Linked DNA regions of Caenorhabditis elegans. The protein of the gene in region 1 binds, or shares a complex with, the protein of each later gene. Each region holds a gene or a part of one and is shown on either strand. Other genes may lie near its edges. The genes, in order: lin-54, lin-35, lin-53 and lin-9.

The links.
Region 2: lin-54 (region 1) and lin-35 share a complex: the UniProt entries of both Caenorhabditis elegans proteins name them as parts of the DRM complex.
Region 3: lin-54 (region 1) and lin-53 share a complex: the UniProt entries of both Caenorhabditis elegans proteins name them as parts of the DRM complex.
Region 4: lin-54 (region 1) and lin-9 share a complex: the UniProt entries of both Caenorhabditis elegans proteins name them as parts of the DRM complex.

The regions. Positions count from the first base shown.
Region 1 is NC_003282.8:13,237,722-13,245,155, reverse strand, and holds lin-54 (Protein lin-54), read right to left. Parts: upstream 4,106-7,434; 5' UTR 4,089-4,105; coding exon 3,963-4,088; intron 3,921-3,962; coding exon 3,765-3,920; intron 3,714-3,764; coding exon 3,605-3,713; intron 3,559-3,604; coding exon 3,453-3,558; intron 3,403-3,452; coding exon 3,015-3,402; intron 2,474-3,014; coding exon 2,228-2,473; intron 2,174-2,227; coding exon 1,997-2,173; 3' UTR 1,755-1,996; downstream 1-1,754. Other genes in the region: cox-11 (Cytochrome c oxidase assembly protein COX11, mitochondrial), read right to left, coding at 695-832; JC8.4 (CMP/dCMP-type deaminase domain-containing protein), read right to left, coding at 951-1,481; rpl-12 (Large ribosomal subunit protein uL11), read left to right, coding at 4,596-4,632, 4,758-5,012, 5,223-5,330, 5,380-5,477; tag-115 (SAC3/GANP/THP3 conserved domain-containing protein), read left to right, coding at 5,744-6,005, 6,270-6,400, 6,459-6,565, 7,365-7,434. UniProt on the Caenorhabditis elegans protein: Synthetic multivulva class B (synMuvB) protein. SynMuvB proteins are required to repress the induction of vulval development by Ras signaling and probably act by forming the multiprotein DRM complex that repress transcription.
Region 2 is NC_003279.8:5,805,775-5,813,533, reverse strand, and holds the start of lin-35 (Retinoblastoma-like protein homolog lin-35), read right to left. Parts: upstream 5,826-7,759; 5' UTR 5,805-5,825; coding exon 5,747-5,804; intron 5,495-5,746; coding exon 5,399-5,494; intron 5,114-5,398; exon of another isoform or gene 5,037-5,113; coding exon of another isoform or gene 4,896-5,036; intron 4,588-4,895; coding exon of another isoform or gene 4,356-4,587; intron 4,312-4,355; coding exon of another isoform or gene 4,137-4,311; intron 4,092-4,136; coding exon of another isoform or gene 3,998-4,091; intron 3,895-3,997; coding exon of another isoform or gene 3,715-3,894; intron 3,668-3,714; coding exon of another isoform or gene 3,539-3,667; exon of another isoform or gene 3,532-3,538; intron 2,046-3,531; coding exon 1,825-2,045; intron 1,563-1,824; coding exon 1,446-1,562; intron 1,188-1,445; coding exon 514-1,187; intron 464-513; coding exon 56-463; intron 1-55. Other genes in the region: C32F10.4 (uncharacterized protein), read left to right, coding at 3,539-3,667, 3,715-3,894, 3,998-4,091, 4,137-4,311, 4,356-4,587, 4,896-5,036; vps-51 (Vacuolar protein sorting-associated protein 51 homolog), read left to right, coding at 6,293-6,351, 6,395-6,569, 6,621-6,782, 6,842-7,273, 7,322-7,651, 7,722-7,759. UniProt on the Caenorhabditis elegans protein: Key regulator of cell division which acts as a transcriptional repressor and negatively regulates cell cycle progression in its active unphosphorylated form, but allows cell cycle progression when phosphorylated.
Region 3 is NC_003279.8:9,614,886-9,621,449, forward strand, and holds lin-53 (putative histone-binding protein lin-53), read right to left. Parts: upstream 4,876-6,564; 5' UTR 4,873-4,875; coding exon 4,717-4,872; intron 4,663-4,716; coding exon 4,079-4,662; intron 4,032-4,078; coding exon 3,518-4,031; 3' UTR 3,326-3,517; downstream 1-3,325. Other genes in the region: ate-1 (Arginyl-tRNA--protein transferase 1), read right to left, coding at 90-192; K07A1.10 (Large ribosomal subunit protein mL64), read right to left, coding at 416-695, 1,043-1,297, 1,350-1,432; putative histone-binding protein rba-1, read right to left, coding at 1,721-1,780, 1,831-2,017, 2,076-2,330, 2,391-2,542, 2,585-3,025, 3,073-3,216; nra-2 (Nicalin), read left to right, coding at 5,348-5,425, 5,471-5,622, 5,670-5,796, 5,855-6,398, 6,441-6,564. UniProt on the Caenorhabditis elegans protein: Core histone-binding subunit that may target chromatin assembly factors, chromatin remodeling factors and histone deacetylases to their histone substrates in a manner that is regulated by nucleosomal DNA.
Region 4 is NC_003281.10:8,896,913-8,905,870, forward strand, and holds lin-9 (Protein lin-9), read right to left. Parts: upstream 7,220-8,958; 5' UTR 7,214-7,219; coding exon 7,157-7,213; intron 7,048-7,156; coding exon 6,929-7,047; intron 6,880-6,928; coding exon 6,747-6,879; intron 6,707-6,746; coding exon 6,104-6,706; intron 6,060-6,103; coding exon 5,901-6,059; intron 5,426-5,900; coding exon 5,015-5,425; intron 4,937-5,014; coding exon 4,832-4,936; intron 4,786-4,831; coding exon 4,636-4,785; intron 3,881-4,635; coding exon 3,683-3,880; 3' UTR 3,326-3,682; downstream 1-3,325. Other genes in the region: unc-32 (V-type proton ATPase 116 kDa subunit a 1), read left to right, coding at 8,716-8,868, 8,950-8,958. UniProt on the Caenorhabditis elegans protein: Synthetic multivulva class B (synMuvB) protein. SynMuvB proteins are required to repress the induction of vulval development by Ras signaling and probably act by forming the multiprotein DRM complex that represses transcription.

The DNA.
Region 1 (7,434 bases):
GAAAAAATATTATTTAAAGGTGGGGTACCGAAATCTGGGAAATATTTTTAAATAACTCCAAATTTTCCCCTGATTCCGAATATTTAAATGAGAAAAATTCAAAAAAAAATCCCCAGATTTTATATTTCAGCTTGAAATCGCGATTTTCATTTGTGCCCCGGTTTCTTTTTTCAAATACGCGCCGAAATTGATTATCCTTGGAGCGCGTTTTCCTCATTTAATTTTCTCCATATATTTTTTTTTTTTTCAGTTTTTCAGCTATTTTCATCCATTTTTGCCGTATTTTATCGTTTTTTTTTTGAAAAATATATTCTTTCGTGTAAATTTTTTATTGCCATAAAAATGAATGAAAATAGATGAAAAACTGAAAAAAGTAAAAATATCTGAAGAAAATTAAATGAGGCAAACGCGCTTCAAGGATAATTAATTTCGGCGCGTATTTGAAAAGAAGAAACCGGGGCACAAATGAAATTCGCGATTTCAAGCTGAAATATAAAATCTGGGGAATTTTTTTGAATTTTTCTCACGTCAAAATACAGAACGGAGTTTGATTTCGGTGATTAAAAAGTTGGAAAAATTGAATTTTCCAGAATTTTACAAATAGAGAATTTTTTCAAAATAAACTTCGAATAGCCTTAAATATTTAAAACTAATTTCTGAATCCATTTACAGTATTTATTTCCGAAAACCTTACTTTCGAAAATCCTCTCGCAATCTGAAAACTAATCACATTCGAATTCCTTTGTAGTGATGATAAAGTTGCTAACGGAGATTTTGTTGCAAAAAAGGAGTAACAGCTCCTCGCAGGGCCCCATAACCTGGATAAAGACATCTGAAAAATCGATTTTTTAATACTTTTTCTCAATTGGAACTATAATAATTCAGATATATATGGCGCATTTAGTAACCATAGAATCGAGAAATTAAACAAGAATGAATAATTAATAAAATCATTTAATTTCATCTAACTTTGGTTTTTTAGTTTTCCGCTTTTCAGGCGGTGCAAATGGGTTAAGCTTCTCGTAGAATGTTTTCAGCATGGCGACAGATCGTTCCGACCAAATTCCAGCCACAATTTGCACATTATCCTCCATTCGGTACTTCTCCGCACTTCCAACACTCCGTACACCTCCGAATCGTGGATTTTCGGCTCCATACACCATTTTTCGAATTCCCAGCTGATACATTGCCGACGAGCACATTATGCAGGGCTCCAGGGAAACGTAGAGCGTGGATTTTTTGAGCAGATCCTCGCAGCCCGTTCCGTGCTCTTTCCACATTTCAGTGACTGCTACCATCTCAGCATGCCTTGTCGGATCACCGGTCTCGTTCACACGATTCCGACCTCTTCCAATTTCTGTTCCATTGACCACAAATACACATCCAACTGGAACTTCATCTTCATCTAAAGCTTCTTGAGCCAATTCGAAGGCTTTTTCCAGAAATGCAGTGTCCTCGGCGCTCAGCTCGTTTTCTGACATTTCTAATAAATTTTCTAGGTTTTAAAGGTGTACTAATTCGCATTTTAATTATTTTTTGCACAATAAAAATTAATTTTAATTTTAATCGCAGACCAGCGATGCATATTGTGCGCCGAAACACTCCTGAATAGCTTTGTTTAAAATAGGAGCGTGTTTCGGCGCACAATACGCAATTAAAATTTAATTTAAACTTCTGAATCAAAAAATCAAACATTTCTCGAAATAATTACTTTGCTGGGAACAAATGTGCAACTATGCTGCCAAATAATAAAAAAAAGACACAAAACTTCATAAATATAACACAATAATTTCTAAAATTGAAGAGACGCAGGTGAGTTAGTAAAAATGAAACAAATTTTTCTGATCATTTTTTATTTGACAACTTTGAAAGAAGGCAACTTGTGAATCTGTAAAAGCATTGAGAGGAGGGGAGGAAGGCAAAGAATGTGTGAGAGGTGAGATCATAAAAGATCGCGCAACTGTGATAAAATTGATAATAATTTTAATGCGAATAGTTAAGAAGTACTAGTAGATGGTCCTGGGATGTCATCCGTTGGAGCGGCATCAAGATCTTGTGTGAGCTCAGTTGTGTTTGTGATCATTTGTTCGAGACAGCGGCCGAATTCACGAAGGACAAGCTTCTCCATATTGATGAGTTTTTCGTCTTCGGTTTGCACTTTTTCGTAGTTTAACTGCAAAGAAAAAAAATTAAATTCAATAGGAAACCAATTGATTTTCCAACTAACAGCTTCTTCAGCTTGAGCAACCATGCACATAGTGGCTGCCTCAACGACTTCATCGGTCATATAGTACCACGGGAAGCGTCTAGGATCCATCTCGACCTTCGGTTTATGCGAAAGAAGCATATCCTCGTAGTCGTCTCCATGCTCATCGGTCACCACACTTCCCGGACCAGAATCTGGAGTCGCTGTGCTGGAAGCGTTGGTCAATGACATCAGGGCATTCGTATTGGACACGGCACCACCGGAGTTCTGAAATTAAAATTTGAATAAGAAATTAAATTTATTGCAAGAATTGCGGTATTTTGAACGTATAGAGATCCAAAATATGATTTTTTTAAATTTGAAAAAGGTGAAATTTGAGCTAAAATATTCAATTTTGGCCACTTTTCCGCGTCGAAGCGGTCGGAAATTGACATTTTTAAAATTATCATCTTTTATTGCATATTTTGGTATTTTATCTAACGTTTTTTTAAAAATTTCATCAATTAAAGTACATTTAAGGCCGAGAGGTGACCAAAAATGATCGAAATTGGTTACCGATCAGCTTTAAATGTACCTTAATCAATGAAATAACGTCAGATAAAATACCAAAATATTCAATAAAAGATGATAATTCAAAAAAAGTCAGCTTCCGACCGCTGGGACACGGAAAAGTGATCAAAATTAGCCTTTTTCGGAATTTTGAACTGCCAAACAAAACTTGTTAATTTGAGCACATTTGTTAGCCTATACGTTCGAAAAATCCAGAATCGTTACTCCATTTTTTAAACTGAATTATAGGAAATTGCACCTTGTATCTTGTCATTCTGTATGTTTCAGTATTCTGACATCCTTTGCACTTGCATCGATCGGTACACGGAACCTTTGCTTCATAACACTCACAATAGTTTTTCAGACAACCACTCTTTTTACAGTGACATCCTTTCTGATGAAGACGTTCGATGTCGGTAATACCTCCACGAGCAATACCAATTTTTGGCTTGAAAGCGTTCGGATTTCGCTCAAGTGACTGACGGATGGCTTTTGAACGCTGACTGTCGTATTCTATATTATTGTGACAATCCTTGCAATTGCAGTCACGACAGAACTCTCCATTGGCGAAACAATCACAGTAGAGCTTGAGGCATTGAGATTTCGTGCAATTGCATGGTTTCCGCTGGCCAGGTGCAAATACTTTTCTTGAAAAATAGAGGAATTAGTGAAAAGTTACAAAATTTGAGTTCTTTACTTTTTAGTTTTCAATCTAATATGACTAACGTGATCTTTCATATCGATGTAAACTTTTCGCTGTTCAGAATTTCCCATCTCCAAGCCCATTGGTTGCACTGTTCTAGCTTAAATAAAATAATTATTAGGACAAAAGATCTCTAGTTTACGAACGTAATGAAGCGGGCTGTCGATCGTACATTGAAGGTGAACCCGATAAATTGGACAAATTCCGCACAGTGTACTGAGACGATCCGGGAGTGCTGGGCCCAGGCTGAAAAAGCTTCCAAAGAGGTTAGTCAATTCGTAAAAAATCGAAAATTTTTAAAATTACTTTTCGCTGAACTGGTCTCGGAGGGGGGACGTAGACGCGATGCGATGATGTATCAATTGGTTCGTCTTTGACCAATCCCTGATTAACTTCCATTGATCGATTATGCTGTTGAATCATACTCGAGGTTCCCGGACGATTTTGCTGCGCCTGTAAGTTCTGAGAAAAGTTTATTTTTATTTCGAATTGAAAACAAATTACTGGATTATGAGGCACAAGCTGTCCATTAACTTCGATAAATTCGGCACCTTCTTCATAATTATCGTATATCTCCGATTCGTCGTAATAATCATCGTCGTCTTGATAAACGATTTCTCCTTGATTCATTGTCAACACTGAAAATACTGAAAAATAACTAATCAGGAAAACAATGTTTTAGCATTTGGAAAGAGATTAAACGAAAAGAAATTAAGTTATCTTGCCAGAAAATTCCCAACAAAAAAAAAAGAACATCGTTTTGAGGATGAAATACAACTTATTTACGTTCCTTTTTGAACCAAAATTTCATTTTTCGCCGTCTAAATACTTTCAAAAATGTTAAATTAGTAACTTATTTCTTGAAAATCAATAATTCAATAAGATTTAATATTAATAAATTTAAAAAACACCCAAAAAAAGGATTAAAAAATTGTTTCGCGCGCCGAAATTTGATTAAACAAAAATAATGCAAGTGCGCTCCACAGTTAATGTTGTTTGAAAATTGACATCGACAATTCGCTGCGTAGCGACGCAACAACCATTGTGATACGGAGTCAATTCGCCGGCGCCAAGTCCTCGCGACGAATTTTTTCTCACTTTTGTCACCGCCGGTATCCCTGGTAGACGTCACTCATCATGCCACCAAAGTTCGACCCAACTGAGATTAAGATCGGTAAGTTGCTCATTTTTGTGCACATTTAATTAGGTATTTGACGTATTATGCGTGATTTTCAATTTGTCAAAGATTTCATCATCGTGATTTTTGAAAAACTCTTTTGCATCATTTTCACTTTTCAGTGTACCTCCGTTGCGTCGGAGGAGAAGTCGGAGCCACCTCCGCTCTTGCCCCAAAGGTCGGACCACTTGGATTGTCTCCAAAGAAGATCGGAGAAGACATCGCCAAGGCCACCCAAGACTGGAAGGGTCTTAAGGTCACCTGCAAATTGACCATCCAGAACCGTGTTGCCAAGATCGACGTTGTCCCATCTGCTGCTTCCCTCATCGTCAAGGAGCTCAAGGAGCCACCACGTGACCGCAAGAAGGTCAAGAACGGTACGCATTTAATGCGTTGGGTCGGGAGTCGATATGCTCTCATCCCCTGGTCTCTTACTTCATAAGTTTGTAAAAGTTTGTGACTTAAAGACTAGTAACCTAAGTGATTTTCATGCTCCGTGAGTTTGATTTTTCCTGGGTTTGGTGTTGTCTCGTCCCAACGGGTTGTTTAATCAATCTAGTTTAACGTTTTGCACGTTTCCATTTCAGTGAAGCACAATGGAGACCTCACTGTTGACACCATCATCAAGATCGCCAGAATCATGAGACCAAGATCGATGGCCAAGAAACTTGAAGGAACCGTCAAGGAGATCCTTGGTAATATTTCGAAAACGATAAACTGTTTCTAAATATTGTATTTTTTCAGGAACAGCCCAATCCGTTGGATGCACAATTGATGGACAACACCCACACGACATCATCGAGTCGATCGCCAATGGAGAGATCGAGATCCCAGCTCAATGATCTGTCACTTGTTTTTGTTGTTCCAATAAATTCTTGTTACTATCTGCGTGTATTTTGATAAATATCTCAATAAATCATGCAAGACGTCTAATTTAGAATTTGTATCGAAAGACACTGGTGTTGGGATTCATTTGTTATCTATTTCTGGTAAAAGAACTCGTGCTTCGTCGCTTTTCGAAATCGATTTTTGCGTGGAGAGAAACTGCGCTCTGATGAATTTTTTCTTCAGTTTATTTTATTTTAAAATATTTTCGCTTCATTCAGAAATGGCCTCGTGTGAATCAATGTGCCCAGTCGCTGAAATAAATTTTCGAAGCCGGAATCATCTGATAGATCAATTAGAAGCTACTGCATCGACTAGTTCAGGACCCCGGTCAAAATACGTTGCAGATCCGACGAAAATGGTCAAAGAGTACTCACGATCAGCTGCTGACACCCATAAATACAACAAACCGGAACTATTAAGGCCTTTTCCCGTTCTACAACACACAATAGACTATCTTCTGGATTTGTACAGTCCGTTTAAAGGTGAGTGTCATGTTTGGTGTTGTGGTAAATGCTCCAATTATGGTGCAAAACGTCTCAGCTCAGTCACCGCCGACGCACCTTGTTTTCACGCATTCTCGGTCAGTTTTCTCGAGATTCAACGCGTCCAGAAAGTGTGCTATATAGAAATAAAGAGTACTTTATAAGGGCCATACACGGTTTAATTTACCCCGGCTATGGTAGTTTAACGGTGCTACAAATGATTTAATTTTTTTTCCTTAAAAAACTTTATTGATTTTTCATCAGACAGGCGGTCAGCGATCACTTCCAAACAATTCGCATCGATTTTTTCGTTTGTTTCGGATCGTCTACGATCAATTCGACAGGATATGATTATGCAAAACTTGCGTGGAGATTTCACTGTAATTCTTATTGAGGTTGGAAAAATAAAAAATTTGAGAAGAAAAGATCCTTAAAAACTATAAAATTTTGCAGAAAATGCTTCCATTCTACATAGAAACTGACGGAGCTTGCAAGATGGCAAAATGTCAGAGTTATGACCCGAAATTGCACGATTTTCAGTTGGAAGAGTGCTTTGGAAGGTAGCTGGACGGCAAATCAACGTTCTTAATCAAAAAGAAATCTGAAAATATTCCTTTTTTGTTGGAAAGTTCAAGAAATGCCTCAATTAGTGCCTGAAAATCTCCTTTTCCAGGTTTTTTTTTATTTCGAAGTAAATTGAAATAAATCGAAAAAAACCTGAGAATGGCCGTTTCAGATACTTTGAAGTCTTTTTTTGAAATTTTCAACCAGAAAGTCGTATTTTCAGGTTGAACGAACATTTTTATTTCAATTTTTGATTAAAAACTAGATTATCAATCTGAAATTAACAGTTTTTCGCCTAAAACGCCAGAAAGAATTGAAAAAAACGGAATTATTTTTAATTCTCCATATTCGATTTGTAAAATATATTTTCGATTTTTTCGCAAAAATTGATGTAAAACTGCCGATTTTTAGACCAAATCTATAGTTTCAGTCAATTTTTTCGAGTGACCAAGTTTCACCAAAGCCTAAATCTTGGCCATCCAATAAAAATTGACCGAAGCTGTAGATTTGGCCTAAAAAATCGGTGATATCGGTGATTAAAATAAATTTTTAAGCGGAAAAAATGCCTGAAAAACCGAAAAAAAAAGTTTAGCATTCGAATTATTAGGGAAAAAAAATAAAGAAAAAATCATGAAATATAGCCGGAAAACGCAAAAATATCGAAACTAAGTCACTTATTTGAGCGGAAATTCAGAAATAATACTTTTCTATTTTCTAATTTAAGTTCTCTGTGATTTTTAGCAAAAAACCACAGAAACCTTTAAAATTCATAAAATAAAATATCTGATTTTTCAGGTGGTTTGAAGAAGTCTCGAATTCCACTGATATTATCCCGAATCCCTTGATATCGGCCTGCTTCTTCTTC
Region 2 (7,759 bases), on another chromosome or scaffold:
CCGAAAAAAAAGTCTTTTTTGTCTTTTTTTTGTGCAAAATAGATTCGCTACTTACTCTTCGAGTTTCGAATTCTCCAATTTCCAGCTTCCAATAATTTTTGTCAATCTATTATAAAGACTTTGATTGTTCGATTCCAAATCGTCTGGATAATTTCCCAATTCGAGATTATACTCAACACACGGAACTCTCGGCTGTTCTTTTGACTGTGTTACCAACTTTTCTGATGCTACTTTTCCACCTAATGCCAACTTTTCCAGACAATGATTATTTGAGATTTTTGTAAGAAATTCTGCATCACGGAAACGTCTTCCAGAGTAAGACACTTTGAGAATATCTGCTACTGAGTATGTGTCCGGGGATTGGAAAATTTTTGAAAAGTCCTCAACGCTTGGAATGAAAATCCGCTCATCAATACTTCCACGTTGCAATAGATAATTCTCATATGCCGTTTTTGGAACGTTCCTGAAAGTATTATTTTCGTTTTTAAAATTACATTTTCTAATAAAACGTACATGATCAAATCTCGAAACTCTTGAAAATTCCAAGTGGACGGAATTCCAGTCTTCTCCATTTTCTTAAAAGTATGATCAGAAAAGTGCCGTGCATCAAGAACACTTCCACCAAATTGTGTGCAAAGAGCTCGAATAATCGTACAATCATTTTCAAGAAGATCTTCAACAAATTTTTGATTCAAATGATGAACTATTCCCTCTTTCATTGAACACATTTCGGTATATACTTGATCAAGTATTGAAAAAAGAAGTTGATAATTTGAAATCAAATCGTCCACTGTCATTCGACTTTTCATCACCAGAAAAGATGTCCAAAGAACCGTAAAAAGTTCATGAGAAGATGGACAATTTTCGGATCCAACTTTGATCTCCTCGAATATTTTGCAGAAAATTCGGCAAAACTTTTTGAATATCACACAAGAAACTGCGAGTCCTTCTTGAATTCGTCGAATATATTCTTGATAACGACGAATTTTTCTGGAATGTATAATTTCCACAAATCGAGCAGTTTTGTCAAGCATTTCAGCAACGGATATGTCAAATGAGTTGGCAATTGTAAGTATCGAAACAGGAAACGGTTGAATGAGAATACGGATTGTTTTTCCACGACGTTTTATTCCTTTTGATAGAAGATAATAGTAAATTGCTGATAGTTGCCACGCCGATTCCGAACCCTGAAAATTATTTTATTGTCTAGAAGAAGCAGCAGAGTAAATTCTATTTTCAGATTAATATCTATTTTTTAATGTGAAAAATTTCATAGCCATTTGAAATGAAAAATTGTCAGAACACATAAAAATATTTTGAAAGCTCTAATTAGGCACACTTGTGTTCACTATGTGTGCTACTTGAATTATTCAGTTTTTACATTATATAGTAGTGGTTTGTTTTGAAAAAACCCCTTCCCCGCATTCGTTGACTACTCAATTAACCTCAAGAGAAACCCGTTGAACCGCGTGGTTGTACGTTTCCCATGCACCAGTAACAATGTCATTTGGTAAATTAGCTGCTCGACATCCTTCCAGAAATGATTGTGATGGTGGCGGTGTCTGAAAAGTTTAAAATTCTTTTTTATACTTTAATTTGAGCAATCAGGGGCAAAAAGGGGGTTTTTTTTTCATTTTTTCGTTTAATAAAAATACTTTTTTCTGATTATGATATTAACTTTTCAGGTTGACATTGATATAATTTTTAGAAAATCTTAGTCCTAGACTTCCTTTTTCAAGTGTTGATGAAAATTAAAATTATCCGCATCATTTTCCGTATAATTTTAAATATTATGTTGTAAAACTAGAAGAAACATAGTATTACATTAGTTTTATCAATAAAACTATCAGCATCATCCTCCTCATAATCATCATCTTCTCCCAATGCAGGTGGCATTGATGTTCTGGAATCTTCATCTTGTTCTTCGTCTTCTTCTTCTCGTCTAGCTTCATTTATGTTTCCTTCTGTTTCTTGTTTGATTGTCATTTGAGTCAATTCGGATTCATTTTTAATCAGCCCTCCACTTTGCACTCCACCATTGAATTCTGAAAACAGTTATCATTTAATATTTCATGTCATCTAGGTTGACTGTGATAAGAACATTTCTTATTGCTTGTGCTACCTTTTTATGAAAATGTTTCGAAGTTTGATTTATGAAAAACGTTTAATTTTTATTATCAATGAATTTTTAAACATATTTATTATATTTTGAAAAAAAATTAAATTAAATTAAAATTGATACTGTTAACAAGTACGATTGATCCATCTTGAAATATTTTCTGAAATGCCAAACCAATTTTCTGATTTTTTATATCAACGTTTACCAATTTAATTTTGTTAGATTTTTTGTTAAATATATCTTAAACGGAGAAGCACCATTTTAAATTTTCAACAAAAAATCCTATAATTTTGTGTACTCTTAATACTAATTGATATTTCATAAACCTTCTGAAACTAGGCAAATTCTCTCGTGAACAAAACCACTGATTTGTCTTGAAATTTGATACTTTTCCCATAGGTGCATATCGAAAAGAAAAAACCCAAAAGAGTGGATACCAGCTATATTTGAATTTATTGATGTGCATAGTAATAATATTACATTGAATTCATTGTCCCGCACACATATAAGCCCATAAATTGTGATATTTTTCGACGGAGAACACGAATTTCCGTTTTTTTCCCACTTTTATGGGTTTTCTATATTTTCTTTTTCCTCTTTCATAGTTTCTTCATAGTGAGACCTACACAACTGGAAACACTCAATGATTTACAATATTAAAGGAAATTTATCCAGATGGCAATGAATTGACCCAAGGATGTCAGTTTTTAAATTAATGAAAAAAATTTCAATTTTTTCAATTTTAAAGTAATTTCCAATAATTTTTAAAGAACGAATTGAATCCATTATATTTTTCCAATTAAAACAAATTCGATAAGTCACCAATTTTTTTTCGGTATTTCTATAGAAATACAATTGTATAAATATCATAAAAACCAAAAAAAAATTTCGAAATTTTTAACTTTAAATCGCGAGAAAAATAAAATCCAATTTTTTTTTGTTTTTGGTACGAAATTTGAACAAGAAATTTTTTGTTTTTTTTTGTCAAAAATATTTTTTGGCATCCTTGATTCTCAACTTATCCATATTTAATTGTGACAAATCAAGTAACGACGAAACTAAGCTGCCAAAATTGTTCTAGTTTCTTCCAACGTTCTTATCATTCTTTATTTCTCCACATACTCTCAGCTGATTCTAGTGCTCTTCTCTATTTTCAACGTCCCTCTCTCTATCTCCCAATGCCCTCATTTCTACAGTTTCATGCAATATTTACTCAACCGACACATGAAGAATTGAAAGGGGGAGAAAAAGAGAATCATATTGTCGTGACATCGACCATATCAGTCGTATGTCACCTCCCCGACTCTGCTTCTCCTTTTCTTTTCTCTCGTAGAGGTCTCTTGTTGGCACACTCAGACACACACAAATGCATTTATAAACCATATAAGCCAAGAAAATTGTATTGATTCCAGAAGAACCATGACAACCGAGTCTTCTCAAACGACGGATCCGTATCAGCACCCGCAACAACGGGCTGAACCACATCAGCCAACACAGCGGATAGCTGCTGAACCGGAGCCAAGGGTATTTTGTGGACTTCCAATTGGTGTAAGTTCAGAAATTTTGAATCTCAGCAAGGATTGAACATTTTTCAGGGAGCTGTTGGAATTCTCGGATCCATTCTCATGATATGTCAAATATTCGGACTTTTGTATCCATCTCCATTTGTGCTCTACGTTTTCGAGATTTCTATTGGAAGCGCCATGATGTTTGTTCTATCAACTGGTGCAAAGCGTAGAAAAATTGCCTATATCACTGCTTACATGTTATATCTAGTACGTTTTAAATATAACTCACAAGATTCGATGTTCCTAGTCAATTATGGAAGCATCAATATTCTCGTTAATATACACTTTGAGAAATAATTATCAATTTCAGTCAATGTACACATTTTGGGTGTTTTTCTTGATCCTGGGAGCAGTTATTGCATGTATTTATTTATCGGATAACAATGATAACATTTGCAATCCAGGTTAGTTTCAATACAATTTTCCGGAATAAAGAAACTGATTTGAAGATAACCAAAAGGATGTAACCACTGCGAAGGGATGTGTTCCAAAAATGACAACTGGAGAATTAGAAATGGTTATAATCTCATGTTTCTTCCTAACTGTTAGTATTATTGTTGCACTCGTCCAAATGCGATATATGATGATTCTCTACAACTTCCTCAGAAGAAATGCATACAGATTGTGAGTCCATTATTTCAATTATGAATATTCATTCAATGGTTCAGACCTCAACATCAGGCGTCAAATTACAATGTTCAATACATTGTACCAACACCAATGAGTCCCAGTGGTATGCCACCACCACCAAGATATACCGCCTACGCCCCACCAATGTCAAGTCAAACTGCTCCTCCGATTCCTACAAAACAACAACCTGTTGATAGCGAGAGTTCGACGACGTCGGCATCAACGAGGAGTGGTTCTTTCGTATCGACACCGATTTTGACAGTTGCCAATGTGAGTTTTGAAAATTTTTTGAAGCTTTATGAAATCCGTTTCAACGACTATTCATTAATCAATAATATAAAACTAAGCTATTCTTTCTATATTATAAGCTGCATTAGATAAATACGTCTTAATGCGATTATAATTAACTTCAAATAACCCGCTAAATTTTGTTACGGAGCGCTTGTAGTCGAAAAAGTAATACTAATATCAGAAAAATGGTTATTATTGGGAAACCTCCGATTTCCAGCAAATTCGAGCCAGAATGAGCTCTAAAATTCTTTCCCTATGACATCACTAAAACTCTGTAACAATTTCAGAGTGAACCAACAGGAGCTGACAATTCGGCGTTTACAAATGATGAAGATCCAACCCGACCACGTGCAACTTCTCGGCCGCCTGCATATAGTGACGTGGTTGAACCAGGACATATAACAGTCCGAAGTGACGTTCTTCAATAGATTTCACTCTGTCTTCTATGTATATTTTGACATTTGCTCGTGGTTGTGTGCAATAATAAAAATGTTGCTTGATTGGTAGCTATTGTTGTTAGTGACCTCTTAACTAGTCAGGTGACTGAGCGCTTGATAACTTCATAATTTCCTATATAAGTAGGAGATGATAGCGAGTTGTGATAAAGGTGATAATGAACTGGGGAATATCTATCTTCATAGAGAAAATTATTGGAAAAACGAAGGATGCTCTTAATATGTAAAACAAAGCAGTCATTTAGATTATCACATGAGGCTGCAAACCCTTGTTTTTGTTTAATATTTTTGAAAAGGAGAAAATAATCAGATTTAATATTTATAAAACCCCATACCTTGCTTTATATCTAAGTCGATTCGTTTTGCTGGTGGCTCTTCACATATTGTATCCGTTGTCTCCGTGCCGGCTAACACGGCATCGAATGGGCTTTCTGAAAATAAATCAATTAATATCTAAATTTATTTGCGGTAATTTGAGGCTGAGTTCTAAAAAATTTCTCTCCCTGATGGAAAGGCAAGTAAAATCTTGAACGCTGTTTAAAAAATTTCGAAAAAATCGAACCCTGCGCAAATTGCATTAATCAGTTTTTCTATTCACTGCGGCGGAGAAACTAGCTTTGATAACGCCTCACTTTCCAGACAAGTATAATTATACGCTTTGAATAAAATCATTTAAAGCTTACGCTCGTGAAATGGGTCAGTTGTTGATGTTCCAGGCTCATCGGCTGCTCGTTTCGGCATATTGAAGAAGTTTTTACCAGTCTGAAGAATATTTTTGTGTTTTTTATTCGATTAAACCCAAGAAAGTTCAGATAAAATGTAATCGAAATCGTTTAAAATTAGAGAAAGCAAAATAATTTTCAAGAACGCGCTCATTTTTTTCTAGTCGCGCGCGCAATGATGTTCCACAATTCGCAATAGAGCGCATTTGTGCACGTCCTGGAGACACCATCGATTTTGAGAAACTGAATAGGAAGAAGAGGATACTTCAGAACTTTCTAAAACTGAAGCATTAAATGTGATTAAAAATTGTGAATGTGAGAGAAATCGAGTTTGCAATTCAGAAAATGTATGTTCCAGTTGAACACATCTTACCTTCTACTTATTTTTTCGGCAACCAGCATTTCCCCCAAATTTCGTTCCCTTTGTATTGATGGTGTCTCAAATCTGTTTTTTTTCATTCTCGAGTTTTCCTGAATTTTCTTTAATTTTTCAGTATTGAATGTAAAATGTCTAGTGTTTTGGACGTCACAAAGCCGGATTTTGATGTCGAAGCATTTGTCGTCAAGTTAGTTTTCAGAGATATGCACTGATAAATATTATTAATTCAGATTACTCCGTGAAAAGTCGCTTGATGGATTAGTAAAAGAAGAGGAGGAGATGGTTTCAGCTGTGAGAAGGCTTGATTCAGATGTACATCAAATAGTCTACGAAAATTACAATAAATTTCTGACTGCGACAAATACGGTTCGAAAAATACAAGATGAATTCACGCAACTCGATTCTGTTAGTTTTCGAATAATAATAAAATCAGACAATTTTAATGTTAATTTTCAGGAAATGAAATCTCTCAGCCGAAGTATGTCGACAATATCGACTCTAATTGGGAATCTTGACGGAGTTTTGGGCGAAAAACGTGACGATATTCTACAATTGGGAAGCTCGTATAAAGTTGTGAATAGTTTGAAGCATATTTTCGATCTTCCTCATGTTCTGCGGGTAACATTTTTAATTTTAAAACTTTTTTTTCATATTGCATCAAACTAAACAACTTCCAGAGTGAATTCGATGAGCGAAACTATGGAGAAGTTCTTCGAATGTTCAAATTAGCAGAAGAGTCACTATCGCAGTATAAAGACGTTCCAACAGTTCAATTAGTTCTTCAAAAAAGTAAGAAAATTTATGATATGACGGAAAATCAATTAATGGATCAACTGCGAAATCCGGCTTCTGGTGCAGAATTAGTATCAGAAGCTGTAGATTTATTATTAACAATTGGAAGAGATGAAGATGAAGTTCAGAAAGTGTTGCTCACGTGTTCAGAACAATCTTTAAGAGTAGATTTGAAAGAATTATCAGCAAATCATTCGGATGTTTTGGATCTCGTTGATAAAGCTTCTGAGAGTTTTATTCCAAATCTCACTCTGATTGCAACAACTCATGATCGATTATTTGAGGATAAACGAGAAGATCTTATTACGGTTTTGAAGGTTTGTTAATTTAAAAACGATTTGGATTAAATTAAAGTTTTTTTACAGACGGAAATGAATTCTCTGCATGCTTTGGTTTCAAAAGTTTTTCTATCATCAAGTGATGCAAAAGACTGTTCAATTGTCGTCCGGGCTCTTGATAGATATTTTCGAAAAATCTCAACCTGCCGCTATGTGATTCCTGGACTTGACTTTCTTCCATTAACTATCGAACTAATCAATGCAGTATCAAAACACGAGATTGATTTATCATTGACAAGAATAAAAGAAGAACTCAAAAATGGTTTGAATGAAGTTCGAAAAGCATTAATTAATGAAGAAAAGGATTTATCCGCTTTAGCAAGCAAAATTGAACAAGTTTTTGTTCACCAAGTCAAGGTAAATTTTTCACTTTATTCTGACTGTTCTCTCCAAAAAAATATGCTGTTAAATCTTTAATATTTTCCAGACCGCTCTTGCAAATCTGCTCTTGTTCACAGCTAGCGA
Region 3 (6,564 bases), on another chromosome or scaffold:
AAAGTTTTAGGAAATGGGAAACAGTAGTTTGTTAGTAAAAAATCAGAATTAATTTCAAACAACAACAGAAATTAGGAAATCCGACTAACTTTTTGCGGAACGAGCTGGAGTTCGTTCGCCGCGATCGTTTTTACAATATCCACAACTGGATCGTTGATTGGCACCGATGAATTCTAAAAATGTTGGATTCATCCCAGCTGAAAATATGGATTAATTATATCGTCAAAAGAAATCTTTAAATGAGGATTTCAAATAATAGGCTTGACTACCATGGCAATAATTGAAAGGTAAAATGAGCATTGGTTTTTTGAAAATATTTATAATGTTGGAAGAAAATAAAAACAAAAACAAGAAACTATATCTAGAAAAAGACAAAAGGAAAAACTAGGAAAAATTAAGAAATCTGACAAATATATTATCCCTGAACGTTCTCTGCAAATCGTTTCTTCTGAATTTCGTCCCGCTTTGCCATTTTCACAGCCTTCTTCTCTTCTGCTTCTTTTTGCTGTAGCATCACTTCGAATCTTGGATCTTTTGGATCCATCCAATATCCAAAGTATTCTTGAATGTCACGAATTCGTTTTTCAAGTGCTACTTCCTTTTCGTCTTTCTCTTGTTCTTGTTTAACCAATGAAGCTTCATATTTTGCAAGTGTTGCAGGATACTTTTTGAGATTTTTCTCGAGTTCAGCAATTCTGAAAATGGATTCAGATGACATATTTGTAAATTTTTCAGGCATTTTTGTGTAAAGAATTCGCAAAGACTAAAATTTCAAAAATGTCTTAAAAATCGATAATTCTATTTTTAATTTTTTAAACATATAATTGTCCGAAAATTTGACAAACGGTGTTTCAAATAAAATATTGAAGAAAAAAATCAAGGAAAGCCGATTTCGTGCATGTCAGCCACTTGCACGAAATTCAAAAACAATTAATTTTTGCCCTATTTTCGCAAAATTGAAGCAAAATTATCGAACGATTCTAAATTTTTTAAAGTTATGTTTTAAAATGTTGCTAATTTTGAAATTACAATTAAAGTATACCTCGCTAACTCTGATTCCCTCTTCTTTTTCTGTAGTTCTTTGTATTCTTTCTTAGCATTATTAAATTCTCTGAACAATCCAATGGCTTCTTCTTCCTCAATTTCTTCAGCTGTTGGGAACAGCTCTTCAACTGGTACACCACTTTTTAGACCATATTTTCCGAATCTTTCACGACGAGATGCTCGTTCACGCTCAGAATCAAATTGAACCGGTGGCATCCCACCAGCAGCAATGATTCGATGACGGGGACGTAGACTAAAAAAATGTTTTTTTTTGTTTTTTGAACATGCAAAAAATGAAAACTCACAAACTAACATCAACCTTCGGAGCGATTTCCTCACTTGAATTTGTTGCAAAACTTCTTACCAAAAGTCTCCAATTTCTCAACATTTTCTTTCTGGATAACCTTGAAATATGTTTAATCAATATATTCCTTATCGTAAGAAAATAAGCAATGTAAACCGACTAAACATGGTTTCGCAAGTGCGCCCCATTGTGAACACACTATTTTTCAAAGTAAATATTTAGTGGCAGAGAAAACCTGAGAAATTAATTCTGAATAGATGAACACAATATGAAAGAAAATGAAAAAACGTTCATTGATAGGAATGTGATTTTTACATTCAAAGATCAGAAGTGAGAAAATTAGTAAAATTCGACAAAGTGCAATTTAGACGATTAAATCATTTCGGTCTCCCATTTTTCCGACGAAACTAAACTGTTTGAAACTTCCCACACCTGAAAAACCATTAAATAGTTATGATTAATTTTTTGAAAATAATTCTTGCCTGTAATGCATTAAATTCGTCGCTGCTGCAAATAGTCCATGGGCGGTTGGGATTCCAAGAGAAATCTGCAACTTTTCCAGTATGCCCAGCGTGAATAAAAATAACTTCTGGTGGAACAGAATCAGATGATGCAGCTGATGAAGACGATGGGTCTTGAATTTTAGAAATATCCCAAACGATAACCCGACTGAAATTTTTGAAATTTCATAGGTTAAACAAATACAACTTATTAGGAAAAAACTTACTCATCCGATCCACTACTAGCCAGAACAGTTTCATAATGCGGGCTGAACGATACTTGAAATATTTCGTCGTTGTGATGTTTCAGCGTGTACATTTTTTTGCGCATATTCCTCATATCCCACAAAGCAACCGTTTTATCAACAGATCCGGTTGCTAAAATGTATTCGGAAAACGGATTGAAAGTAATACAATTAACTTCTGCAGTATGTCCGACGGCTGTGAGCTGTGGCTTTGATTGACGCAGATCCCATAGGTTTCTAAAGACGTGAAAATTATTTTGAAATCTCGACAGAATGGTATGATGTATTTATACTTACAGTTTTCTATCATCTCCAACAGATCCAAAAACGAAATTATGGAGCGCGTGAAAAGAAACATCCTCCGCATTTGATGAATGACCTTTAAACTTGCTTTGTGGCACTATTTGACCGGAAATGGTCTGATTCGCGTTTATATCCCAGTGGCAAATCTTAAAAAATGTATATTTATGTATATCTTTTGTTAGAAATACCATTCCGTCATCGCCGGCAGTTAGCAAATGTCCCTCTCTGGTGTTGCTCCACGACATTCCATATCCTTCGCCTTCATGGCCTTTCAATCGCAATTGAGGTCGAAATTTGGTGTCTTTTGGTTCAGATGGGTGCTTCGTGTAGTCGAAAATATAAACGTCATCAGAAGGACCTCGACTTGCAATAATGAAAGGATTATGTGGCATGTAACGTGCCCTATGAACTTCTCCTGGATGGTTGATTTTAATCTCAGTATCCCATTTTGCAGCGCTGCCCTCTCCATAACCTCCGAACTCTTCACGTTCCGAATCCCATTTAGCGTCGTCGAATTCTGGTGTGTCTGTCGTTATTGTGAACTTTGAGATCATGAGATGATTCTGAACTCCTCCACAAGTATGTGTTCCATGAATCATTCGATGCATCGATGAATCCGAGTTCTCTGTCTTAAAAAAATAATGAAGAAGGCGAAATCATATTTACCGATTCTTACTTTTGTGACATCAGGCATCCATTGCACTGATAAAGAAGGCCACTCGACCTCTTTTGTGACGACTGTATCGTAGAGATATGGAACATTTTTCTTCCAAATTCTATGTTCTTTACTCGTTTCTTCACACGATTCAGCTTCACTCATTGTGCTCTGAAATTGCCTGAAATAACAAAAGATACAACAAAAAACCAAAAATATCACAATCTGAGCTATCACAACAATCACGTTAACATAATATTTCAAAACAGTTATCTGACAATGGTCATCGAATTTATTTCAGGTTCAACAAAATATGATCATATCTCAAGGTAACATTTTAACTTTAAAAACTTAGTTGGTGAAGAATATGCGTTTGAATAAATGGTAAGATGAACAATTTGTTGAGATGCAAAATTAAAGAAGGATAGAAGTTAAATACAAATAATTTAAGCGCGTTTCACGTATTTTACTGTTGTCTCTCTACCACATCGGCTGGAGTTTCTTCGTCAACTTCGTTGTATATGTTATCAGCCATTTGCCACACTTGGAGAATATTGTCTTCTGACACACTGCACACAACCCAAGGCTCGTTCGGGTTCCACGAGAAATCGCTGATCTTGGCGGTGTGCCCACCGTGAATAAACAACAGCTCTGGTGGACCATCTTCCGCGTCTTCGGCAGATTGGTCTTCTCCAATCTTAGATAGGTCCCACACATGAAGACGTTTATCAGTACCGCTGGATGCAAGAATAGTCTCGTTGTGTGGACTCCACTGAACTTGGAAGATTTCATCACGATGTGATTCAAATGAGTGAAGTTTCATTCGTAGATTACGTAGATCCCAAAGAGCGACAGTTTTATCAGCTGATCCGGTGGCCAGAATGAATTCGGAATATGGATTGAATGCGAGACAGTTAACTTCGGCAGAATGAGCATCGATACAGTGTCCAGGAGTGCTTGTGCGCACATCCCAAATGAGCCTATAATTTTTAATTAGTTAATAAATAGAAAAAAAACAAAAGCTTACAATTTCTTATCGTCACCAACCGATCCGAAGACACCATCATGCAAAACGTGCCAAGCAACATCTTCAACGACTGACTCGTGACCTTTGAAAACATCCTTCGCTTGCAATTCCCCGGCAACATTCTGATTTGCGTTGATATCCCAATGACAAACTGTCTGATCATCTGACGCTGATAGAATCAAACCTTCTTTGTTTGGATTCCATGATAATCCATAGCCTTCCTTCGTGTGTCCTTTCAGTCTGATAAGCGGATTGAACGTGTTATCACGAGGAACAGCAGAGTGCTTTAAATAGTCGAAAATGTAAACATCAGCATGTGGAGACTTTGTAGCAATGATATTCGACTTTTGAGGCATGTAACGAGCTCTGTTAACCTCCCCTTCGTGGTTAATGCGAATATCGGGTTCCACTTTTCCGTTAACAGCTCCGAAACCACCGTATTCACTGCGCTCGGTATCGTAGCGAGATGCATCAAATTGGGCATCATCCGTTGGCATACAGATCTTAGAAATAAGCAAGTGATTCTGCTCATCTGAAGTATGAGTTCCAAGAATGAGCCGATGAATAGTATGGTCGCTGTTATCCTAAATTATTTGAATTCACTTCATGAAAGTTGTGAATTATATGAGAACACATACCTTCGCAACGTCTGGGAGCCATTGAACACTGAGTGAAGGCCACTCAAGCGCATGTGTCATTACGAGATCGTACAAGAACGGGGTGTTCTTTTTCCAAATTTTGTATTCATCATTTGCGACGCGATCTTCGGAGGTTCCATCTTCAAGAGTGGCCATTTCCTGAAATTTTCAATTTTTGCAAAGAATAATTATCGTTCAAACAGTGTAGTTAGATAAAATAATACAACAAAGAAGGGGTGAATAATAAAATATTAATTCAATTGAATTTAAATATATTAAAACAGAGAATTTTAATGCGGGAAAGTGACCAAAACTGTAGAAGACCGATAAAACCCACTTTCAAAGTGTGTGCGCGTCGCGGTTTTCGCGGGGAGGGGTCTCGCAACGATTTGCCTTCACCGCTGTTGCAAGGTACGGTAGAGCATGTTTGGCTCATTTGAATTCCGCTCAGAAAACTCATGCAGTTTTCTCCCTACTCGGGTATTATATATCATCAATTCTGGTTTAATTCTATCGATTTCTGTAGAATCATGATAGTTTGTGTTATTAAATAATTCCTACTCCGAAAGATCTTTCATCCTAATTTGCACAGGATTCTCGTGATTTTGAGCTTAAGATATGTTTTTTTCAGATGCAGGATGAAATCATCGATTTTTTCCGAAGTCCGGCTCTTCTTTTCTACATGACTTTAATGTTAACCATTTGTGTAGTAAGTTGTTGGTAATGATTTAGAAGATGAACTCTCCATATTTAGGTGAACGGGTCCCAGCAAGTTGGAGAAGTCGTAGAAACCGAGTTTCATGCGTACCGTCTTCATCAATACGAAATCAGTGGTAACATTTATGGATGCAAAAATTATCGCGTATCATATGAAGCTGTTTCCTTGGGTGCAAGAACTCTTCGCAGGTTTTTTTGGATATTTCATTTGTAAATAGTAATATTTTAATATCTAGAACTATGGTTACAACATGGCGAGATCTTCTTACAACAGATGTCGATGACATGTGGGCACTTTCTACCGGTGCCGTGCTTATTTTCATTCCCGACAATCTTGATGAACTTAACGATATTGATCGGAAGGTTAGCTTGAACATTTAATTTCATATTGCCATAAAAGTTATTTATGCTCATTATTCAGGCATTCATCGATCTTGAAGCAAAGTTGTTGAGCGCAAAGACCGACTTGGCTGTTTATGTGGCTCCTTTCAATGATGACGCCGTTTCTATTCTTCACGATGTCAATACTCGCTCGGAAAAAGCTCCCACAGCCCTGCAACATTTGCTTCAATCACTTTCCGGAAACACAATCAGTATCACTTCTTCCGATCAAAGTCCAGAACTTCCACCTTCATACAAACCACTGAATATTGTTGGTCGCTTGAGTAGTGGAGATCGTGCTGCACCTACGATTGCATTTGTGGCACACTATGACACACAATCGGCCGTTCCAGGAGTCTCGCCTGGCGCTGATTCCAATGGGTCTGGTATAGTTGCACTTCTCGAATTGCTTGCTGTTCTGTCAAAATTCTATGATTCTCCAAGCACACGTCCTCCATACAATATTTTGTTCATTTGGACAGCAGCTGGAAAGCTCAATTATCAAGGAACTCGTCACTGGATCGATGAGTACCAGAAAGGCTTTGACAGCGCTGATTATGCCAAATCTGGACTTTCTAGAAAAGGTAATGCAGTAAAAGGAGAGTGTCGTTTTACCGGTTTTGAAGGGTTTTCAGATGATCGTGTTGACTTGGCAATATGTATTGAGGCAATTGGTCGCAAAACGGGAGGATTTTTCATGCATGCTGGAAAGACACCATCAGAAAATTCAGTAGCAGCTCAACTTCTCAG
Region 4 (8,958 bases), on another chromosome or scaffold:
TTACGAGCTTGTTTTTAACCAGACTTATGGATCCTGAGAATGGAGGGCCATGGAGCCTCCATGGAGGGGATGGCAGTTGGAGATACAATGATTTTGGAGTAATTTTACCTTCGTATTATTTTTCATGTGATTTCATTTTCAATTCACTTAGCCCCGTTTCCTAATGTTCAAGTTGCTATTTCCAATTTATTTTCCTTGGTCCACTTCATATTCCTTGGAATTTTTTCTGCATTCAAATTACCAAATAGCCACGTGCAATATCCCATTCTCTGCAGTTTTGAAATTTGAATTTATACAATAAACATGAGTTGTCAAATATTCAGTCTTAATCTGATATTAGTTCAAATATATTCCAAATCAATTCCAAATATATTCGAAATATATTTCAAATATATTCCAAATATATTTAAAATATATTCCAAATATATTCCAAATCTATTCCAAATATATTCCAAATATATTTCCTATTCTACTAATCTTTTTCTCAATTTCTGTGCGAAATTGTGTTATTATCGTACCAGGGAACAGAGATATGACCAAATCTGTACTCACTGTTCAGATTTTTTATAAAAATGGTGAAAAAAGGCTTTGGATAATTCCAAACATTCATTTGGCAGAAGCTGGAAGTTAATGAAACACACACCGCAGCTGTTAAAACTTATATAAATATATTTTCTGTTTCCAAAATTATAAACTTGTAAAATAAAACCGTTTCAAAACTTTCACGATCGAAAATATGATGCGTGCCAAAAGGACGTCAGAATATATTTGGAATATATTTGGAATATATTTGAAATATATTTGGAATACATTTGGAATAGATTTGGAATATATTTGGAATAGATTTGGAATATATTTGGAATATATTTGGAATATATTTGAAATATATTTGGAATATATCAGTTTCCGGTAATTTTTGTTTGTCCGCTAAGATACTTTGTCACCCAAAAGTTTGTTATCACGGAGAATTGATCAACTATGCTTGATTTATTGCTTTTATACCCCTTATGATCCTTTGAAGCTGAAGGATCAGATCATCAGGAGGTACCCATCTGATCCTTTGAAGCTGAAGGAACAGATCACCAGGAGGTACCCTTCTGATCCTTCGGAGCTGAAGGATCAGATCACCAGGAGGTACCCTTCTGATCCTTTGAAGCTGAATAATCAGATCATCAGGAGGGATCATTGTTCATACATTCAATTGTGAGTAGTCAAGGCCGAAAATCCATGGAAAATTGCATTTAAAAACTTATTCCAGTGAAAAAAAAACAAAAATCGATTGAGAAATATATATAAAAAACTAGTTGAAAAAGTTTGTCACCGAAGATACGCCCGGTCAGAGACAAATGGCACTTTGTCGACTGGATACCATGTCACTTTGGATACTTTGTCCCCAAAAATACCTTGCCACCCTAAAAGTTTGTCCCCTCGGAATGAAGGCCATTTTGATGCATCTCAATCATCTCCAGATTCTTTGCAAGAAGATCATTACTTGGTGCTGGAGGCGGAGACAGAGCAAGAGCTCTGCGTGGAGGGCGTCGTTCTTCTTTTGGCTGAAACTTGAAGACATGACAACAATAACGTCGCGTATTGCACTTTTTTGAGAACAAAAAATCCACATTTCATCTGGAAAATATTTTTTGAAAAACAGTAAAGAAGAAAAAGAAGGAAATAGAAAACCATTGGAACACGAATAAAATGTGAAAAATAAAATCATTTCCCCGTTTCATTGAAGCAAAAGTATTATGTAACAGAGTTAAAAAGTGATGGGAAAGTTTGGCGAACTAGTATTGACTAGTAGTATAATAGTGTTACAAGCATAAAGTTCAAAACAAAAGATGAAAATTTAAGTAAAAAAAAATTCTATTTAATGTACATGGAACTTTTGATGTTTATTTCTCTGCGAGCTTCTCAAAAGTCGCAGGACAGGAGTTTTCGGCTCTTCCACGTGTGGTGAAGGTGTTCGTTGAGGCGTTCCTCTAATTTGCACAACAGCTTTGGCAGGCGGTGCCAGAAAACAGAAGCGGGCATTTGTCGATTTTGCGATCGGTATCTCAGAATCCATTGTTCCTTATTTTATAGAGTTTCTATGTGCATGAACGGATTTCAACGAAAGATAGGTATGATGGCAACACGAGCACACCGTCGGTTGAGTGATGTGATGCACATTTCTCATGTGCTTCCTCACATCATCGGCTCGAGTCATCACAATTTGGCACATCAGGCATTCCTGTGGTGTCATATGATACTTCAATCGATGATGGTTTAGTGCCGCCAAGTCCTTGAGCTTAGAACTGCAGACATTATGCAACATTTCTTCCATATTCTCCACTTCGACGTCTTCTCCATCTGGTTTTGAATCGATTTCCATCACAAAGAGATTTTTGAATCCTTCGACCAGTGTTGGAAATTTAGTGAATTCCTGGCTGAAGGCATCCGAGATTTTGTGGGCGGTATCGGTGGACACGATTAGAACACTCTCACGGACTTTTGAGAGTTGCGTTGCTAATGAGCAACTGCCTGTCGTCTTTCCGACACCTTTTCAGGCTACAAAAATCCGTTTTAGCGTTTTTTGTTCGAGAATATTCTCGATAGAGGCTTCCAACTGATCTACCATGCTGAAAAAAGTATTTATTGTATTTGAAAAAATAATCAAATTGATTTTGGAGCAATACCAGAGAAATGGAGAAATACGGAGAGAAGCAAATAGATTTTTTGTTAATTTTTGCAGCTAAATATAAGAATGATATCAATGTACTTGAAACATTCAAAAATTTCATAAAAGATTAACAGAAATTTTTTAAATTTTAACTATTTTTTCAAATTTTTTAAACAGTTTTAAATGTATTTTTGTCGGTTTTCAGTGAAATTTTTGTTAAAAAATAAGAAAATTAAGAAAAAAAGCTAAAAATGACTTTTAAAAAAATTGAAATTCGTTTTTTGGCGCAAAAAGTTAAAGGGACATGAGATTTCGTAGGGAGCGGGTCTCGCCACGATTCCTCCTATTTTTATTTTTACTTTCAAACGAAACAACGAAGCTCCGAAATAACGCATTCGTGATAAATTTAATAAAGAAATTAGCAGCAAAACAGCAAAAAATGCGAATGGAATTCAAATACGAAGCAAGGCGCGCAACACACTATAAAAATTGATCAAAATTACGCAGCAAAGACAGTTTAAAACTACAGTAATCTTTGAAGGCGCACATCCGTTTGTATTTAACAGACATTTGTCGTGACCAGTTACCGTACTTTTAGCGCTCACTTTTGTGTCCGGGCTAATATCTTCTCACCGCTGGCAAACATAATAAAATGAAAATTCACCTGAAACTTTAAAATTTTATTTATTTTCTAGACAGTCAGTAAAATAAAAAATAGTGGAGTATAACTGACAAGGGTTTCGTTATTTGGCTCGTTTTTCTCGAAAACTGATGATGATGATGATGACAATGAGGAAGAAAATAGAATTTTGGCACATTCGAATTATCAAGGTTGAACTACTTTTAAAAAATAAGAAAAATGGGGATGTGTCTCATGATCGGGTACAATTTTGAAAAGACACAAAGTGATTGAAGAAGGTGGGGAGAGAGAGAGAGCAGAGATGAGAGAACTGAGAATATTCAGAAAAACAAAAACTGACGGGACCGGTTGGCGTTTTTTTGGACAAAATGAGACGCTTTTAGTTATTTTCTGTTCGATACAGTTCCAGCTAGTGCTCCACTTTCGAGCATAATTGTGTGAAATTGTTTCATATGAACTTCAACGTAGTCTTGGAAGAATGCCACGTTGCGGGGGTGAATAGCGGTCCGAATTTCAGATATGGCGTCACCAAGTGATTGAAGATCAACTGCAGAGATCTTTTGAGTTCCCATTGTGCGAACCTGGAAAAATATAATATTTTTTCTAATATTTTTCTGCAGTAAAAAAATTTTTTAATAGTGTTTTACCGATGACCAGGTAATTTTGAATTCTAGGAAACAATTTTAGTTTTTTTTTTGTAAAATAGTAATTTGTAATTAATTCTAATGGGACGATGCAAGTGAACACGTGTATTCAGCTCGACCAACGCCTCGAAAATTTTCAAAAAAGGCGGGAAAAAATATTTGAATTCGCCAAGAGGAATTTCACCGCAGCGCGTGACGGTGTTTGCACAAATTACACCGAATGGTCGAGCTGAAAACACGTGGTGAATTTCTCGTAATTTCTCGACACATTTTTTGCAATGCAAGTGCGCGGAGAAATGACGAGAAATGTCGTGAAATTTGCAATTTCTCCGCATTTCTCGACATATGATGAACGGTGAGATACGCAGAAACATGTGTCCCCGCAGGAAACTCCGCCTACTCACCGCACTTTTAACAGGGTGAAATGTCTTACCACCCTGCGAGGACACATCTCATATGTCGAGAAACGCGTAGAAATTGCGAATTTCACGACATTTCTCGTCATTTCTCCGCACACTTGCATTGCAAAAAATGTGTCGAGAAATGACGAGAAATTCACTTGCATCGTCCCATAATGAAATTAGGAAAGAGGATTTGGTAAAAACCGAAGTTTATTTTCTAATGAATTTTTACATTTTCAATTTTTTTTTTCATTAATAAATTATTATTCTGCAGTCTATAGTGCCACAAACCTGTAAAAGGACAGCTGTCAATGATTGAATAAGTGTCAACGCATGCACATTCTCTACATTTAATCCTTGATTACAGTGCTCTACAAATCTTCCAGCTTGTTGAGAGCACATTTGTCTAACTGCTTCAGGTTTCATATTTGACGTTGAAATCTGCAAACAAATAGATCTTTCGAAGAATCAGGAAATGAAAAATTACATCATTCGAAGAGAAATACATATGGTGATCTTGAATTCCATTCATATTGATATCTATATTCTGATTCACATGTTCCAGATCGATGATAGTTTTGGCGTATTTCTCCTGAAAAAAAATTGTTTTTTAGATTCTATCTAGTTGACTTTTTCATATATCAAAAAAAATTTCTAATTAAAAATGTACCTGAAAAGCTTTCGAATATTTGTCTGACGTCATATTTTGTATCTCGGCATCCGCATTCAATTCGTTCAATTGTCGTATCAATCCCTTTTTGATATCAATTAATTTCGTCAGTTTCACAAGATTCACAAGGAATTTCAGCGGGAAATTTCCAACCATTTCTGCATTTTTTCCATTTAATCGTTCGTCGTTCGGTCCCATTAATGGTCCACCACTTCTCTCGATTTTTCGAGAAACCAGGACGTCACGAACAAGATGTGGATGTGATGAGTCACGAACTGCTGCTACAAATGGACGAACGCCTGATGGAAGCTTAGAGTTGGCTTGTTCAATGAAGTAGGCGATACTCAACAAATCAAGTTTTCCGTCGAGAAGTATTTCCGTGTCACTAACCAGTGTTGGTGGGATATCTGGCTGAAAGAATAAAACATTGGAATTTATAGAATTTCAAATATTCAAATTTCCCTAAAACAAAATAATTTATGATCCAAAACTACCGAATATAGTAATAGGACGTCTTAATTTCCAAAGACTTCCTATTTTCAGCTAAATCATTAAATTTTGTCAATTTCTCCTAACACTTTTTATTGCATATTTTGGTAGTAATTCGATGATTTGAGCACATTTTAAGTCGATAAGAATCCTACTTTGATATTTTTGGTGTCTATCGACTTAAAGTGATCCTAAATCATAGAATTAAAGCGAAATAAACCACTAAAATATGCAATAACTGTTGAAAATGCAATAAGAATTGCATTCCAGCATGTACAAAATGGACAAGTTGGCGAAGTTCACGAATTTAGCTGAAAATAGGTTTGTGGCGAAATTTTAAGACATCTCGTTACAAAATTCGGGCGTTTTGGGTGATATTGAGTCTCCTTTTACAAACCTTGTCAAAAATAATTCTGAATCCTTTCGGAATGACAGCATCAATAATTCCAGAATAAATTCCATCGTAGGGATTTCGAATTCTCGCAAATACACGATTTCCAACCACCATTGGACGTGGAAGCTTGGCTGGAAGATCTTTTAGATCAATCGATGGATCCTGAAAGAACATTTATTGAAAATGATACACCTCTTCAGCCTTACGTTAAGATAACTTCCTTCATAGACACTTCGAATCTTCATTCTTTTCTCTTCCAGGTACATTCTTTCTTCTTCAAAAAACACTTTCGAGCATCTACGTGGCTTTCCGAGAAGTTTTCGAATCGACCGCCACTCAATACGCGTTAAATTCCAATTTTTCAGATTTGGGAAAGATTCGCGGATAATTGTGGCAAACTCGTTTTCTTCTTTGAAAATTTGTTCGTCGATTGCAGAATAGAAGAACTCGCACATGACCCATTGACGAGCTTTCTTATATCGGAGCAAATTGTAGAGTTTCTTTATATTAGCTCTCATAAATGTGCTCACATCTTCACTTGTTTGATTTTTATACGTTTTGAATTGTTTCATCATGGCACTTCGTTCTTGATCTGTACTGAACATGTTGAAGAATGACTGTGTATCTCGATGTTCTACAGCTTCATTTGTCATATTCGCAGGATTATCTAAATCATCAAGACCTGCTACAAGGTTTTGATGCATCTCAATCATCTCCAGATCCTTTGCGAGAAGATCATTACTTGGTGCTGGAGGCGGAGACAGAGCAAGAGCTCTGCGTGGAGGGCGTCGTTCTTCTTTTGGCTGGAACTTGGAGACATGACAACAATACAATTGTTTTAAAACTTACAATATATTCCAAAGCACAACTGGAAGATTCATAATCAAGAGCTGCCTTTGCGAGCATTGTTAGACTTGAGTTTCGGGTCAATGAGTTCACTGAAGGAGAATCTCTACCTCCATTCAGGCGTTTCGCGGGAGATCTGTAAAATCATAAGATTAGTCGGCCACTTTTTCGGAACAGCTTGTTACTTTTTGGGAGATCCGGTACGTTTGATACTGCGAGACGGTGATAGGTATAGTTCTTCATTACGATATCTCGATGGAACTTTAGATGTTTCACGGAGACTGTATGGTGAGCTGGTGCGATCCTGAAAATACCGAATGTCATGCATACTTTCAATATCTTTCTTTAATTTACAACTTCTTTATTTTTAAAAACACGAAAACCCAATAAAATCAATATTTCCAATAACTTACAGGATCAGACGTGTCACTTGCTGCCTTTTTCCGCGGACTTCTCACCGCAGACGACATTTTTATCTGAAAAATAACAAATTTTTGAATAATTTCAGACCACGAGACAAAAATCAATGAAAGAATGCGGACGCGCGCGCGCGAAAAAAACTTTGAAATGGCGGTTCTTTTCCCCAACCAACAGCCGATTTCAAACAGCGTGATGGTCTCGACGCGATTGCCCTGCGGCAGTGTAGCGAGGTACGGTGGAGCGCTGTCTGTTGGAAAACAGAACACAGCTGAGAGAAGTGAATGTGGTGGGAAACGGAAAAAAGGGAGAGCTGCTGTTTGACAGTCGAACGTCGTGACATTCCGTTTTTGGATTTTCTCGTGAAAGTTTTTTTTTTTTTTTTATTTGTTTTATTTCTTATTTGTATTGATTTTCCATCTTTCCTGGGTTATCATTAAATTTTAAACATGGTTTTACACAAGATCATGCGGTGAAACATGTTTTTTTCTTCCTTTCCGCATTTAAAACGAATTATTTTGTTTATATTGTTCTTCTCTTTCCATTCTCATGATTCATTTCTCTCCTTATTGGCAAGAAACATTATAAAATTGTTCATTCCTACTAAGTGTTTACCAAAATTTATTTTGGCCGCAAAGTTTTAAAATTGTAGAATAAACTTTTCATTAAAAATATTTCGTCTTCAATCACTCATCTTTGTTCCGAAAACATCTCACAGGTTTTTTCTTCAAAGCAATATTCTTCTTTAGTGTTTTTAGTCAGCGTTTTTCGTTCTGGATCTGGATTCTATGGTTTGATGTTACTTTGAAACACTATTTATAAAATCTTTTTGCAAAGAAACAATTCTCTTAAATTTAATACAATTTCCGCATCAAAATTGAAGTTTTTGTGCAAAGTTGACCTCTCGCAGCGTAATCTTATCGTTTTTTCGCGTTATCACCACTCAATCTCCCCCACTGCTCTACAATTATTTCATTTCTCTCAACCTTTTGATCGAATCGATTGAATTTCATAATATCCACGAAATGTGAGTCGCCCAATGTTTACGTTTCTCCATCCTATAACACTGCTTACAAATGGTTTCAGTGTTCAAACATTGCGGTGAATGAGGCAGACAATCAGACATTTTCTTTCTTTTAAAACCTGTCCTGTTCATTTCTTCCTCATCTCCTTTAGGTTTTCTTATTCGCCATCTGAAAGTTTATTTCTCTGCGTCTAGCTATTAGATCCTGGAGAATTACGCTCTAATGTCGATGACGTGTCGGCTGATCGATTAGATTGCGCAAATTGTTTCTTTAGTTTTTTCTAGATTTCTCTCCCTTTTTTCATGATATTCCAATGGAGCACGTTTGAGCGCATGCTCTCTTCTTGCTCAGTGCTGCTCCGTATCGATCCCTCTCCGTCAATATCTGGTCTTCGGTCCTGAGGCCTTCGCTCCTAGCCTCGTGCTTTTCTTAAATGTTTTCTCTCGAAAGAAGCGTTTTTGATTTTTTTTTCCTTCTTATTTTTGAAATCTTCATATTATTTCATGGAAATTCTTACAGAATCAACTAGAATGGGTGATTACGTGACTCCCGGCGAGGAGCCACCACAACCGGGCATCTATCGAAGTGAGCAGATGTGCCTGGCTCAACTCTACCTTCAATCTGATGCTTCCTATCAATGCGTTGCTGAACTGGGAGAGCTCGGACTTGTTCAGTTTCGTGATGTGAGTTTGTGATATGTAAAAAACTATTTTCAATTAATAATTTTAAAAAAAAGTAAAACTTCAATTTATTTTAATTTTCAGCTTAATCCC